2 linked regions of the Pelodiscus sinensis genome follow. Each later gene encodes a partner of the first gene's protein in a complex. Links are inferred from orthologs where the notes say so. Each region holds a gene or a part of one and is shown in the gene's direction. Other genes may lie near its edges.

Region 1 (6,876 bases):
CCCTGTATTTTACTGAAATTGTCTTTTTTCCTTATTCATAACCGGCTTTTTCTCTTTGTTATAATGTATCTTTTTTACACCTAATTGTTTTTGATTAACTGCATTTGTCTCTGATAGTTTTTCACTTAAAGTGGTGATGGAGCAAGGCTAGACAACTAATTATTTTACTTCACTGGCTATCCACGGCAGGACAACTGCCTCCGATTTGAATGGATCATCTCCAAGACGTATTATCACCTATCTGGTGACTAACTCTGCACTGATTAGGCCTCAGCTGGAGTACTGTGTCCAGTTCTGGGCACCACATTTCAAGAAAGATGGGAAGAAATTGGAGGTCCCGAGATGAGGTACAAAAATTATAAAAGGGCTAGAAAACATGAGCTATGAGGCAAGGCTGAAGGAATTGAGCTTGTTTAGTTTAGAAAAGAGGAGATTGAGAGAGGACAAGATAGTGGTTTTCAAGGATCTAAAAGGGTGTCACACGGAGGGAGAAAAATTGTTTTTCCTGGCCTCTGATCACAGAACAAGAAGCAATGGGCTTAAACTGCAGCAAGGGACATACATCTAGGTTGGACATTAGGAAAAACTTCCTGTCAGAGTAGTTAAACAGTGGAATAAATTGCCTAGGGAAGTTGTGGAATTTCCATTTCTAGAGATATTTAAGAGCAGGTTAGGTAGACATCTATTAGGAATGATCTTCTAAGCAGTGCTTGATCCTGCTGTGAGGGCAGGGGACTGGACTCGATGACCTCTCAAGGTCCCTTCCAGTTCTAGTATTCTATGATTCTAGTTAAGATCTGGATTAGGCTTGTAAGAGATGCTGTGGAAGTGCCATCACTGAATTTTTAAAAAAACAGATTGGATAAACATCTATCAAGGACGGTTTAGGAGTGCATAGTCCTACTCAGTGAGGCAGGCTGAACTAGATGAGTTCTTAAGGTACCTTCCAACTCTACATTTTTATGATTTTATGAACATTTTGGGTCCTCTTTATTGAAAAAGCATCCAGCTCTGCAATGGCTGAATTTGGTGGGAAATTTACTTTACTACAGGTTGGACCTGCCTGTTCTGACACCCTCTGGTCCTGAGGGGTCCCAAACCCTGGAGTTTGCGAGACCAGGGCAGGTCAAGGCTCCTTTCTTGGCTGTCAGCCCGTCTTGGCCACCGGGGATTCTGCTTCCATCCCCCGCCAGAGCTCAACTTCCCCACTGCTGGCCGTGCTGCTTCTAGCCAACCAGGCTCCCTGGTCCAGCAATATCTGTGATCCTGCCAGAACATGGATGTTGCTAGACCAGAGTATCCTGGATTTTAGAGGTGCAATCTATATTCCATAAGTATAGACTCTGGTTTGTTTTCTATGATTTTGTTTTGTGATGTAACCACTATTTCTTATTACATCTTTATTTTTACTTTAATAAACCTTACTTAGCTTTATTTTAAGTGCTAACAAGTGCTGCATTGTCTGTAGGAATGGTGGCTCAAGATAAAACTGGTAAATTGGGGCTCACTGCACCTTGTTTACATGGAAGGCCAATATTAGCACAATGATGATATATTTTTAATTATTTTATATAAATGTTTTGGCCTTTTTGAAAAAAAGGTAAAAATACCACCTATTTTTCTCTTCATTCATTGCTCCCTTAAATCTATTCTGTTCCTCAGAGGGACACAAAAAAAGTAGCCTTTTTTCAAAAAAAAATTCACCTGCATCTAGACTGCAGCCGCGTTCTTTTGAAAGTAAATCGAAAAAAACCAGCAGTTTTTTCAATCGTGGTAAACCTCATTTTATGAGAAATAATGCCTTTTTTCGAAAGTACCGTTTCTAAAAAAGGCGCTATTGAATGCAAACTGTTCTTTTTCGAAAGAGAGCATCTAGACTCTTTCAAAAAAGCGGCTCCCTTTTTCAAAAAATCTGCTTGTTGTCTAGACGCTGTCTTTTGAAAGAGGCTTTTTTGAAAGATTCTTTCGAAAAAGCCTCTTTTGAAAGAGGCTTGTAGTTTAGATGTAGCTAAAGAGAGCCTCCAGCAAGTACTCCACTGGTAATAGTTTAGGAATTTCCTCTGAGATAATGGCTCAAGCCCATCAGAGACCAAAGACTCTGAATATACTTTAAAAGAAAAAAAAGACCCTGTATTCTTCAAATGTTGAAGTTTGAACTGTGAAACTAAGGCTTAGTCTACACTACAGTTAGAGTGGCATAAGGCAAATTATTCTCACTGATGTAAGTAGCCTGCTACACTAACTTAGGCCTTGTCTATACTATTGCAGACCATCGACTTATGTTACTGCAGTATCTTCACAGCAGTAAGTTGACAGCTGATGCTCTCCTGTCGACTCCGCTTAACTCTTCTGGTTTTGGTGGTGTATCAAGAGTCAACGGGAGAGCGCTCGGTGGTCAATTTATCTAGACATGACAAACTGACCCTTTGCTTACATGATCACTGCCTATTGATCCAGCCTAACATGAAGATATGTCCTTAGTAATTCCACCTCTGCAAGAGGCATAGCTCTTATGTCAATGCAGGATCAGTGTAGACACTGCATTGCTTACATCACATCACATCACCATTTGCTGCCTATCAGAGCCTCACTGCCCGGAACTGACATCTAGAGTTCTGCCACTTGGGGCTGATAGCATAGCAAGTAACTTAAGGTGACTTAATTTTGTAGACCTGCCCTAAGATTTCTGAAATGAAGGGACCATTCTTTCTTTTCAATAGATTTAGAATATAACTATCAACCTATCTGTATGACAATTAACAGATTAAATGACTTTTTACACACAAACAAGTTTTGTAGTCCTTGACTGCAACTCTATCACTGAAACCTACAAATTAATATTACTACTATAAATTCGTATAACAGAGCTACAGAATTAGATAAGTCTTACTGATACCCTTTTGCTAAATATCTCAGAATACATTTATTTTAACAAGTATGTGAAGTCACAGACATATGCATGGATTTTGGCTGAGACTATAAGGGAGAGACATGGGGAAATGTCCCTGCAAACCCGGAGCTATTGATATGGGATAGGTGGAGGCCTGGTGTTGTGGCACATTTGGTGTAAAGTTGCTGGGTACCCAGTGTCCCCAAGACATAGGGGAGGGGGAGTTAGTGGAGAACAGATGTTACCATTGTGATGGGCAGCCTGCTAGAGTTTTTTTTGGAGGGGGTGGGGGGCAGCGATTGATGGTCTGGTGTTATTTGGGGAAGTTGATAGTATTCATTGGGTGGATTGTAGGGATCCAGATGTATTTGGGGTAGATTGGTGAGGTCCAGGGGTTACTGGTGTTTTTGAGGGAAGACTGCAGAGGCCCACCGTATTTGGGAAACGTTGCAAGGTCCTGGTGCATTCATTGAGTGGATGATAGCAGTCTCGTTAATTGTAGGGGGATTGCTGGGCGTCCAGTGTATTTGGGAAACTTGCCGGGGCGGGGGGGGGGGGGGGGGCGGGGATATATTTATAAGATAAATGACAAGGGCTCGGGTGGTGCACTGCAGGAAGGGCTGGAAGTATTTTGGGTGGGTTGCTTGTGGCCCAGCTGTATGGGGGGGGCAGGTGGCGGATGTACTGGAAGAAGGGGCGGGGGCCATGGTGTGACTGGCGGGGGGGTCAGGAGTCACCCCTATATTGGGGGGGCTCAAGTGTTACCAGTGTGGGGGGAGGGGGGTAGCTAGGTACCGGAGTGTCTGGGGGCAGCTGGCGCGGGACTCGCTGGGCCCGGCGTTGTGTAGCCGCGGGCGGGCGCCGCTGCCGAAACTCAGCAGCCGCCCGTGGCCGGTTCCGCGCGCGCAGCGCGGGCTCGGGAGCCGTTCGGCAAGAGAGCGCGCGCACGTTCGTCTCCCAGGCTGCTCTAGGCCCGTTTCCCATCATGCCTGGCGGGAGGGCCGGCCCGTCCCCTCTGACCCCGTCCCGTCGCTCGCCTCATCCGGGCTCTCGGCGCCACACGGGGAAGATGGCGGCGGCGGGGGCGCTCCCTGCCGAGTGGATAAAGAACTGGGAGAAATCGGGCAAGAGCGAGTTGTGAGTGCGGGGCGGCGTGGGGGGAGGAGCGGACCGGGCCGGCGCTGGAGGCTAGGGCGGCCCGCCGGCCGGTCCGTAGGGGCCGGAGTTTGGGGCCCGGTCGGGTGGAGGGGCCGGGAGCTGGGTGGAGGGCAGAGTTCCGGGCTGAGTTCCCCGCACCGCTCCCTAAAGGGCCGAGCGAGCGTCCCCCACCGGCTCGGTGCCCTTTCACCCTGGCGCTCTCCCTTGGGCCTGACTCCTTCACGTCCCCCCTCCCCCGGCCTAGTTGTCCGGGCTCCCGGTGCTCTAGCGCCAAGCGCCCCGTTCCAGGCTTTGGGCCAAGCTCCCCCGACCGTTGGCCCCGTTTGATCGCCCGTACCTCCGCCCCCGCGGCTGTCGGGTTCGCCCGCTTTCCCCTGTGCCGAAGCGTCAGGCGCCCCAGTGTTGAGCGTAGTTGCAAGGGCCTCAGTCCCGAAATTCCTCCATCCGAAGGATTTAACGCCCGCGCTTCTTCCCCGATCCAGCCCAGAGCGAGGATCGTTCATCCCATCAACTCTTCTGTCATGGGCCCTTTGTGTGCCAAGAGAGTTCCGCCCAGCCCTCCCCACAAATCCATTTAGCGCTCCTGGCCTTGGCAGAGAATGATCTTGTCAGTATCACCCTAAGTCCTAAGAGGTGGCCATTCTGGCAGTATGTTGTCCACTGTGTATTGGGATTGCCTCTGATCAGAAGGTTTGATTTGACATTCACAATTTCCTCAACTGAACAATGACTTGGGCTGAAAACTTTTTAATATTGTAGATTAATCGGAAGAGTTCTTAAAAACTTTAATTTATTTGCTTTTTTATTAAGAGACACCTTCAAAGTTAAATGTTAAAGACTATTTTGTGGTGCATTTCAATGAGACATAGTATTCACATCATTAATTTTCCTTCATTTGGTATAGCTGTACAGCCCTCTGAAACAGGATGAGAAGAACGGGTGAGGTAGATGGAGAATGTAGAGGCCTTCTACATTACCATTCTTCCCTTGACCTTTTTCATTAGGTAGTGGAAGAGGGAAAGCCTTGTTGTCAGTGCCCTTGCATCATGATACAGGCTTGACATAACCGTGGCTTAAACATGTTTTGATCTATACTAAAAACTAGACTGTATTATGACCAAATAATCAGCTATATAGTAAGTCACCTGACAGTAATAACTGCAGTATAGATGAGCTTATAAAGAAATGTATGTTCAAACTATTTTTAAACTTTCCCTGTTTAGGATTCTGTGTTAACAACTGAATTCACAAAAAAATTTGAAAGATATAGTCAGTAAATAGATTGTTAGCCAGTGTCTATACATTTTTGTAGAAGAATAAAATATATAAATATATTCGTTCAGTATCTATTAAAATATGTAACTAAGTGTAGGTCACTAAACAGTATTTTTTTATATAGTATAGCCATGGTGTCCAACCAGTTTTGAATCAGTAGCCACTCTCATGACTTAGCCACACTCAACTGGCCAAATTGGCACATTTTTCAAGCCAACTAGCCACACTCAACTGGCCAAATAACCACATCTGGCTAGTGGCTAGCATGTTGGACACCATGGTAGTAGAGGTTTGACATAAAAAGGATGTATGTCAGGACTTACCTTTTTTGTGTGTGTGTGTGAGGTTATTACTTCTATCTGAGTTAGGAAGCTGTTCAATATGATTAATTTTGAAAAATACCTTATGACAGGTAATACAGAGTTAATTTTGAAAGATAATTCATAGTTGATTGTGTAAAGATTTGTGCAGAGAAAGGGTGGTGTAGCTTAGCCTTTGGCTATTGTAGGATTCACACAGGTCAGCTAAACCACTTTCTAACAAAAGGCCAAGTATCTTAAAATGTTACACAAAAGTATTGTAATCCAGTCTTTGAATCCACAATCTTAAAAAACAGAAAAGAGTATACATTCATTTTGGTTCATTCATTTTGGCTTATCCAGTAGTGTTACTAGGTTAGAAGGGACAGTGTGTAAACCCTGTTTAAGAATAATTCCCAGACAGCCTGATTTAAACAAGAGGCTGTAAATTGCCAGTGAAGTGTGACTCTGTGTGTGCATAACAGCTGTCAGTTTTTGCTGAAACATTTTTATAAATCTTCTAAACCTACATATTAAATCTTTTAAAAGTAAAAAATTGTATCCGTATGAACCATTCCAAAAGATTTTTTGCACACGTAAAGACTGGCTTTCCTAGAAGTAGAAACTGAACAATTTTGCTAGAATTTTTGTTCTGAAATACTAACAAATCTTTGTGTTAATAAACAAAAGCAACCATTGATTGCATTTTTAGATGTCAAAATGAAATACATCAACATATTTTGTACCAGTTCTAGAAATGAAGAATTAGAAGCTTAGAAAGGATGCAAAGTGTTTTGCAGAAGGCCTAGAAAGATGATATTCCAGATCTAAGCAGTTTGCAATATAAATTAAACACATAGGACAATTAATAAAGTTGATAAACTCTGGGAAGGATATGAGCTGTAGAAGGACAACACCTGTAATTCTAGCGACTAAAGCCAAGTGACAGTTCTTAGCAAAACTTGTTTTACCCATCTTTTTCATTGGGGGCAAGCTCATTTTTAGACCAATGTTTAGTTTTTAAGTATGCTGGGGCTGGCCAGAACAGAAGCAACATACCAACTTTCACTCAAATAAAACCAGTAAATGTATTGGTAACAATTTGTGGTTGATAAGAAAAAAAGGTGAAAACAAATAAGAACATTCGCTAACTGCTGTTAGTGTAGGGTAACTTATGTGATCCAAAAAGATAAGAGTCTGAAATGATATAGTGGCGAAGTTATTAGTTATCTTTAGTAAAGTATTATTTTATAA
Region 2 (7,874 bases), on another chromosome or scaffold:
GGGGTACCTGAGTTAGACTTTTTTTTTTTAAGTTTTTCCAGTTACAGACTAGCAGCACCTTAAAGACCAAGAAAACATGCAGATGGTATCATGAGTTTCAAGGGCATAATCTACTTCATCAAAGGAGTGGATTGTGCCTTCAAAAGCTCGCAATACCATCTACATATTTTCTTAGTCTTTAAGGCATTGCTAGACTATTCATTGTTTTTCCAGTCACAGACAATCCTTTTAGGCACTCCTGTCTATTTAGCTACCTGGGCAATCTGAGCTTGGTGATAAATGGTCAAGTACACACCACATATCAGAAAATATTTCCATTGCTTCCAATCCCAAGAGAGCAGTCACTTACCCCAGGTCAATTTGTACCTTTGAGCTCACCAAAGACAATGCTTGTAGCCAATCCTAAACTAACTAAGGATTTATTAATTAGGGAAAAATACAATCAGCTCTAAATGTCTTTTCTTAGGGGTTAGCCAAGTTGATCCTGGGAGACTCTGCTTTTGTTTCCTAGTTCCAGCGCTGAGTCTATACGGGTATGTCTACACTACAAAGTTAATTCAAACTAACAGACGTTAGTTTGAATTAACTTTGATAGGTGCTACACTAGCAAACCGCTAGTTCGAACTTAATTCGAACTAGCGGAGCACTTAATTCGAACTAGGTAAACCTCATTCCACGAGGACTAACGCCTAGTTCGAATTAAGTAGTTTGAATTAAGGGCTGTGTAGCTATTTCATTCGAACTAGTGGGAGGCTAGCCCTCCCCAGCTTTCCCTGGTGGCCACTGGGCACCACCAGGGAAACTCTTCTGCCCCCCTCCCGGCCCCAGAGTCCTTAAAGGGGCATGGGCTGGCTACGGTGCCCGTGCCAGGTGCAAGCCTGCCAGCACCCAGCCAGCAGACCCTGCACCTGGCACAGCTCGAGCCAGCCACCCGCTGCCACCCAGCCCTCTGCCTCTTCCCGGGACCAGGCTGGCAGCTCTCGGGAGCCTGCCCAGGTCTGCAAGAGGCGGGCGCCCGCCTGGTCTAGTGCAGACATCGTGGACCTCATCCACGACCTCCGCACTAGGCACAGGAAAGTGGCCGTCTAGGGCAGGATAGCTGCCAGCCTGGCCACCCAGGAGCAAGTATGTATGAAAATCAAGGTGGTCCAGTGAGACCCCCGACCCTGAGCCCTGAGCTTAGAATGGCCGTACTGGGTCAGACCAAAGGTCCATCTAGCCCAGTAGTCTGCCAACAGCGGCCAACACTAGGTACCCTGGAGGGAATGGACCGAAGACAATGACCAAGCCATTTGTCTCGTGCCATCCATCTCCAGCCTTCCACAAACAGAGGCCAGGGACACCATTTCTACCCCCTGGCTAATAGCACTCCATGGACCCAACCTCCATGACTTTATCTCACTTCTCTTTAAACTCTGTTCTAGTTCTAGCCTTCACAGCCTCCTGCAGCAAGGAGTTCCACAAGTTGACTATTTGGTTTGTGAAGAAGAACTTTCTGTTATTAGTTTGAAGCCTGCTACCCATTCATTTCATTTGGTGTCCTCTAGTCCTCCTATTATGGGAACTAATGAAGAACATTTCTTTATGCACCCTTTCCACACCACTCATGCTTTTATAGACCTCTATCATATCCCACCTCAGTCTCCTCTTTTCTAAGCTGAGAAGTCCCAGTCTCTTTAGCCTCTCTTCATATGGGACCTGTTCCAAACCCCTGATCATTTTAGTTGCCCTCCCCTCTCCCACCCTCTCTCTTCCCCTCTCCCACCTCCTTTTCCCAGTCTCCCCAAGTTTTGCTCAATAAAGAGAGTTTCTATTTTTGAACACACATGTCCTTTATTTTGTACATCAGGAAGGGGGGCTAGGGAGGGGTAAGTGGAAGGAGGTGAGGGAGGACTGGGGTACGAGCCCCCGATGGGGAGGACTGGGCTGGCTCTGCGGGCTCCTCGGGGTGGAAGCTCTCCTGCAGCCCCCCGATTAACCCCCGTCCCCGGATGGCAGCCTATGGCGAGTGCAGCCGGGCTGATGGCCGAGTGTGGGCACTTGAAGCCAGGACTGCTTTGCTGTCCCTCATCAAGTTAGACAAGTGAACAGGGAACCCCTGAGAACTGTCTGTCCGGGGTGGGGGTCGGGTCCTTTTAAGCACAGCCCTCGGCTAGCCTGAGACAGCAGCTCCACGCTCTAAGTCCTCATCTGATGCCCTGCCGGCACTGCTTCTGGCCATCCTTAACCCCGGTTCAGGGTCCACTCAATGTGGACATGCTAGTTCGAATTAGCAAAACGCTAATTTGAACTAGTTTTTAGGTCTAGATGCACTAGTTCGAATTAGCTTAGTTCGAATTAACTAATTTGAATTAAGTTCGAATTAGCGCTGTAGTGTAGACATACCCTTCAACAGCAGATGAAGAATTTCACGTCAAATATCTTTATTTCATTCTTCCAGAATTCAAGCTGATGGGACATGATTCATTGCATATAGCAACTACATGGGCAAGAAAGGTCCATTAGCCTAGTCTTTGTAGCCATGCCTACAGATGCAGCTCCCTCAGTTCTCCTGACCCATTGATGGGGGCAGGTGCACATGGACTCTAATTGATGACCCCTGCACATACAGGGCTGCAGGTGCAGCTGACCAGTCTGGCACCATATCTTCCCCCACAATGGGGATAGCCAGTGCTTGTGATTCTAGCCCCATGACTGGGAGGGAGCTGAGAGTCAGGGATTCCAGCCCATGGTGCGCAGACTTGCCACGGGCTGGAGAAAATTTAGCAGGGGGAAGGTCCCTCTCCTTCCCCACTTTAGGAAATATTCATTAGTCAATGTTATTGAGTGAGCCTGAATTGCAAAGTTTAGACACAAACTGATCTGAAAGAGATGTTCCAGGGAGTTGGGATTCTGCATTCCCATTTCAAAGTGACACCCACAGTATGCAGCTCTACCTGTTTCTGAAATTACACACAAGTCTGTTTGCTGCAACAAACATAAAATTACCACATCCTCTGGAAACCTTTTCCTCCTGTAGACTTGTGCAACATAATTTCTCTCGTTTTCTGCAAACTTACCACAAAACAACTCCGACTAAAACATGGAACAATATACTTATCCAATGACAGAGCATTGTCACGTCTGAAAGGATGTTACAGAATGTCACTATGTCCAGAGGCAGATAGTTATGACTGAATTGGCAGGGTACAACCTGGAACTGGGGTAACACTGAGCATCTTTAACTCTCCAGCCTGGGCGCTATCTCGCAATGCTTTGCAAGTGACAGCTGTGCTTGGCAGGGTTTGCTATTTATCATTCAGCTCCCAGATCCACTCACAAATCTTAAAGAGAAAGGAGCCAGCCAATTCCTCTCACCTCCCTGGACTTTTGCCCAAAAGGTGCACCATCTTTTCCTGGTCAGAAGCCTGACCAGTGTATATTTCTTACACAGTCCACCCATCCTTCAATGTGGAGAGGACACACTCTAGCCTTTCTAACCTGAGCTGAGATTTCCCAAGCACTTCAAGGAAAACACTGTTCTGGGTAAAATATCAAACAGATTTATTAAATAGAGAGAGAGAGAGAGATTCTGTAGGCTACATCTGCACTGCAGCACTATTTCGGGATACTGGAGGTATCCCGAAATAGCTATTCTGCGTCTTTTGAGCACACCCGTTATTTCGAAATATAATGGGCTCGCTATTCTGACATCCCTCTAATGAGCATTAGAGGGGTAAGGGACTTTTCAGAATAGCAATTTATTTTGAAATAGGTGCTGTGTAGACAGTGCCAAATTTTGAAATTAGCTATTTCAAAATATGATTAAAATAAAATATGCAATTTGCGTAGCTCAAATTGCGTATCTTATTTCAAGCTACAGGCACAGTGTAGAGGCACCCTTTAAGTGGTAGACATAAATGATCAGAGATAGTTACCAAAGAAAATAGAAGCTAAGCACACAATCTAACTCTTAAACCTTATTATATTATGCAGTATTTAGGTCAAGCAGTATTCTCACCCCCTAGATATTACAGTTCTTAATACACAGGCTTCTCCCTGGTCCAGTCTCCTCAGTTGAAGTCTTTGTCTTCCAAGCATTCTTGTTCCTCCTTCCAGCATATGTGGGGGAAGAGAAAGGGAACAGTGGCACCAGGCTTTTGTCTATCTTGTATCCTTAGTCCACGTACCTATGAGACACTTGCTCCGATGAAGACATGTCCTGATGGACTTTCCTGAGTCACAAGGCTAAGCAATACCACTGATGTGATCTTGTGCAACTGCATCCTAGAATTGGACAGTCTCCATTGTTTGGTGCTTGCACAATTGTTATTGAATTGTATACCCTTTGATTAGAACTCCCCTATTGATTAATGAATGTTTAATACCATCCTGGAAGTGGTTCATCACCTAGCATTAAAGACTCTCAAAATTACAGCATATTTCAGTAACAACCATTTGGCAAAATCTCATAACTTCATGCACACTATTGATAAGCATTTGAACAGAACAACTGGCTTCAGACTTTTTATATGATGTGATGCTTTGCATGAAATAGTCATCATTTTATGGTGGTGTTATGGGACTGTAATGAGTCTGGGACAGCAACATGGCTGCCTGCTGACCCGGAAGAGGAAGTGCCCTCTATGACCCCTTGGTGGGCGGGTCCAGCCACACCTAGCCCCGCCCACAGGAGGTCAGAGGGCGGGTCTGGGGCTATAAGAGCCACAGGTTCAGTCGGAGCCAGGTAACTAAGCCAAGCCAACACCTGGCCGTAACTCCCACAGCGTAGGCCTCGGCCGCACTGCCCCTGGTCCAAGAACTGGGTTGGGCTGCGTGGACCCCTGCCAACCTCAGAGCTCTGGCCTGGGACACTGGCTGCTGCCTGAATGCACGCTGATCCTGATAGCACGCTTGCTGGCTACCAACAACTGTGCTGGCCCACCTGGAGTCCTGCCTGAACCGGAGCCCATGGACACCCTGCCAACCCCGCTGTTGCCCGAGTATCCACCGGACTGTCGCCAGAATTGGGTAGGCCCATGGAGGGAGGAGGGGGGTTGGAAAGTGACTCAGGGACAGCCGATCCTGGGAAGGCTGAAGAAGTGGAGGTCAGGTGGGCAGGGCGCTGTGGCTTGGACTCCCATTGACCTGGACGGCGCGCTATGGCCTGGAGCTCTGCCGGTCCAGTGGCTGCTGCCTTGGCACTGTTAGGGCCCTGGTGCGGGATGCGGTGGAGTAGGGAGGGCCTGCGTCCCCCCTGCAACCCTTTCCCCTGAGTGGCAGGTTCCCCCTGTGGGGCCAAAACCCTTGTGCTTGTCGGCTCTCGCAGAGCGAGGAGACCCGACCCCTGTCCGGCTGGGACCCAGACAGAGCTTTAATAGACACTTGTCGCCCTGACCCAAGGCACCTTAAACTGTGAACTGATGACTATTTGTATTAACCCCATGTCTGTCCGCCTGCCCTGACCCCGGGCGGGGCCTCACAAACTCACTCAGCCGAGGCATGTCCCACGGACTTGTGGGCACTTTAGGGAGTCAGCAGTGCCCCACCTGCTAATGTAGGACCCAATGGTAAGTACTGTTTACTTTTGGGAAGCTAGTAACATTGTGACTGTTGTTTTGTAAGTTGAACTGTCAGGTGATGCAGGACTTGCAAAGAGGGCATCCAACCCCCATACTTCAAACATTCCAGACTGATTTCTTAGGTCTCCTCTTTCATTAGTACAAATGGCATGGGGCTCCATTTTTTGTTCTCCCCAACAAAAAGAAGCTTTTTGTGTGCAGCAATCTGTCACAGATCAAGATCATTGGTCTTCCTGGCTCATTTTATATGAAGGAAATCTTCCTTGCTCTGCCATAAATGCATTGTATTACTTTTGCAAAGTATGGAGTTTCCACACAACAAAGCACTTAAGCGTGTCCATATGAATACTTTATTATATACCTGCCAACTCCCTCAAAACCAAAACAGTAGTTGTTAACTTCATGGGCCGTAACTTCATGGATTGTAATATGAATCGCTTAGATCTGCTACCACACCTCCTGGTGCAGTTATTGCATGCTGCCCACATGGCACTGCAGAAACACCTCATCACCTCTTTCCCCATACTGCTCATGCAGCAAATTGCAAAATTTGAGGCACAAGGCATTAGAGCCACATTTCACTTCAAAGTAACATTCAACAAAACCAAAGGAGGCAAAAAAAAAAGAAATCTAATTAAAAAAAGGATACACACAACACACACACAAGCTTTTAATTTAGTTTAGTGGTGAATATGACGCATTTAGATTTGGATCATGTAAATGATGAGAGAAATCAGGGAGACAGAACTTTCCTTTCAATCACTATAGCACTAGAGATATTTCTGAACTTACACAATTCATTCCCGGTGATTTCATGTGCAACCTCTACACTGGAACTATGACGGTACAAATAAGCTATTTTGGCATCATAACTCCCAGAATAGCTATTTCAAATACTATGTTCCACACTACAAAAGCCCATCAAAATAGTGCAGAAATATATCAAAATAGTGTGTCCACACTGAGTGAAGCCTGAATAGCTCTTAAGGCCCCCTGGAAGCATCAGGGCAGAGCATCAGGACAGCAGTCATTTCCTGTAGCTGCTGCCTGAGGCTATCTGAGGCTTATGCTTAAAAGGGCTACCTTCTACAGCCATGTCTCAGGCTCTTCACCTTTGCCTTGAAGGACAGCAAACTCATCTCACTTCTTGCTCTGGTTGCTCTTGAGGGCATGGAGCTAGATGTGCTAGAAAGTAATCGCCATCTCTTAGATCTGCTACCACGCCTCCTGGTGCAGTTATTGCATGCTGCCCACATGGCACTGCAGGAACAGGACACACTGTTCCCTGTAGGGCACCTCCTCACCTCTTTCTCCGTACTGCTCATGCAGCATGATCTCTCCCACCCTACCCTGCACACCAGGCACTGCCACTTCTGGCGACTAGCAACAGGTTCCAGCTGGTGGGGCCAGATTGTCATGGAGCAACGGGATGACCAGTAGTGGCTGTAGAACTTCCATGTGCTTAAGGACACCTTCCTGGAGCTCTGCAAGGGATACGCACATGGAACCCGCCATCCCCTTCCAGAAGTGGGTCACCATCACACTTTGGAAGCTCACCACACCAGACAGTTACTGCTCTGCCGGGAACCAGTTTTGCGTGGGGAGATCAACAGTTGGGGCCATACTCAGGCAGATACGATTCTCTTGCCGTTGTCCCAGGAGGGTGGTGAAGCACTGGAGTGGAGTTTCCTCGGGAGAGCTCCAGGAAGGTGTCCTTAGGCAAGTGGGGAAAGGGACCGACTCCCCTCCTAGGATGTGGTGGAGGGGCTTGTATAGGGATATGATTGGGGTGCTGCCCCTGAACGGGAGCTCCACTCCCTGGCTTTGGTGTAGGCCAGCCTCAACTCTTTCACTTTCGTGTGTTCTGGAGAAAGCAATAGACTTGGCTGCTTAGGTATCGTTTCAAAACAAACTTAGCATCTTCCCCAGGGACAAACTTGAAGGAAGATTACTATGCAGTCAGACAGATCCAATGTACAAGAGGAATAAAAGGCATCTGCACCTGGTCCACCAATTGGAGCCACAGAGGTGGTTGGATGGTGTGAAACATGTAAACTGGTTCTTCCTTATTCCGGCACAGAGCCTTAACCATTCTTCCTTCCATTCTTACAAAAATAATTAATACTAATAAGTATTTCAATTATCGTGGTGCATAGGAGCCCTAATTCTAGAGCTGAAGCTCACATAGCTCTTGTAGCAAGGAAAATCAAGAAACCAGGTTCATCTTCATGTAGGAAGGGCACTGGAGGAGGAGACATGTTTTTCTACCAGAGCCTCAGGGATGGATGAGGAAATCTTTGACTTGGGGTCTCA

The links. The genes of interacting proteins can lie anywhere in the genome.
Region 2: the proteins of THOC2 (region 1) and THOC1 are in contact, whole or in part, in a cryo-EM structure (PDB 7ZNL), measured with the Homo sapiens proteins. The link is inferred for Pelodiscus sinensis from reciprocal best matches to the Homo sapiens genes THOC2 and THOC1. Residues at the interface, in NP_001075019.1 of Homo sapiens: Leu155, Phe156, Tyr157, Lys158, Gln160, Asn163, Leu164, Leu165, Arg166, Asn169, Glu170, Ala173, Lys174, Ile176, Ala177, Gly180, Gln181, Asn195, Lys197, Ser198, Leu199, Ile200, Gly201, Cys202, Phe203, Asn204, Leu205, Pro207, Asn208, Arg209; in NP_005122.2 of Homo sapiens: Asn134, Arg138, Asn141, Leu144, Arg145, Lys149, Thr153, Cys156, Gly157, Gln160, Leu161, Ala164, Arg165, Phe167, Gln242, Phe245, Arg246, Tyr297, Ala299, Lys300, Phe301, Arg319, His320, Leu323, Gln324, Ile327, Tyr331, Arg373, Phe374, Lys376.

The regions. Positions count from the first base shown.
Region 1 is NC_134723.1:32,406,286-32,413,161, forward strand, and holds the start of THOC2 (THO complex subunit 2), read left to right. Parts: upstream 1-3,876; 5' UTR 3,877-3,959; coding exon 3,960-4,027; intron 4,028-6,876. UniProt on the Homo sapiens protein: Component of the THO subcomplex of the TREX complex which is thought to couple mRNA transcription, processing and nuclear export, and which specifically associates with spliced mRNA and not with unspliced pre-mRNA.
Region 2 is NC_134712.1:79,537,473-79,545,346, reverse strand, and holds the start of THOC1 (THO complex subunit 1), read left to right. Parts: upstream 1-4,859; 5' UTR 4,860-4,950; coding exon 4,951-5,010; intron 5,011-7,874. UniProt on the Homo sapiens protein: Component of the THO subcomplex of the TREX complex which is thought to couple mRNA transcription, processing and nuclear export, and which specifically associates with spliced mRNA and not with unspliced pre-mRNA.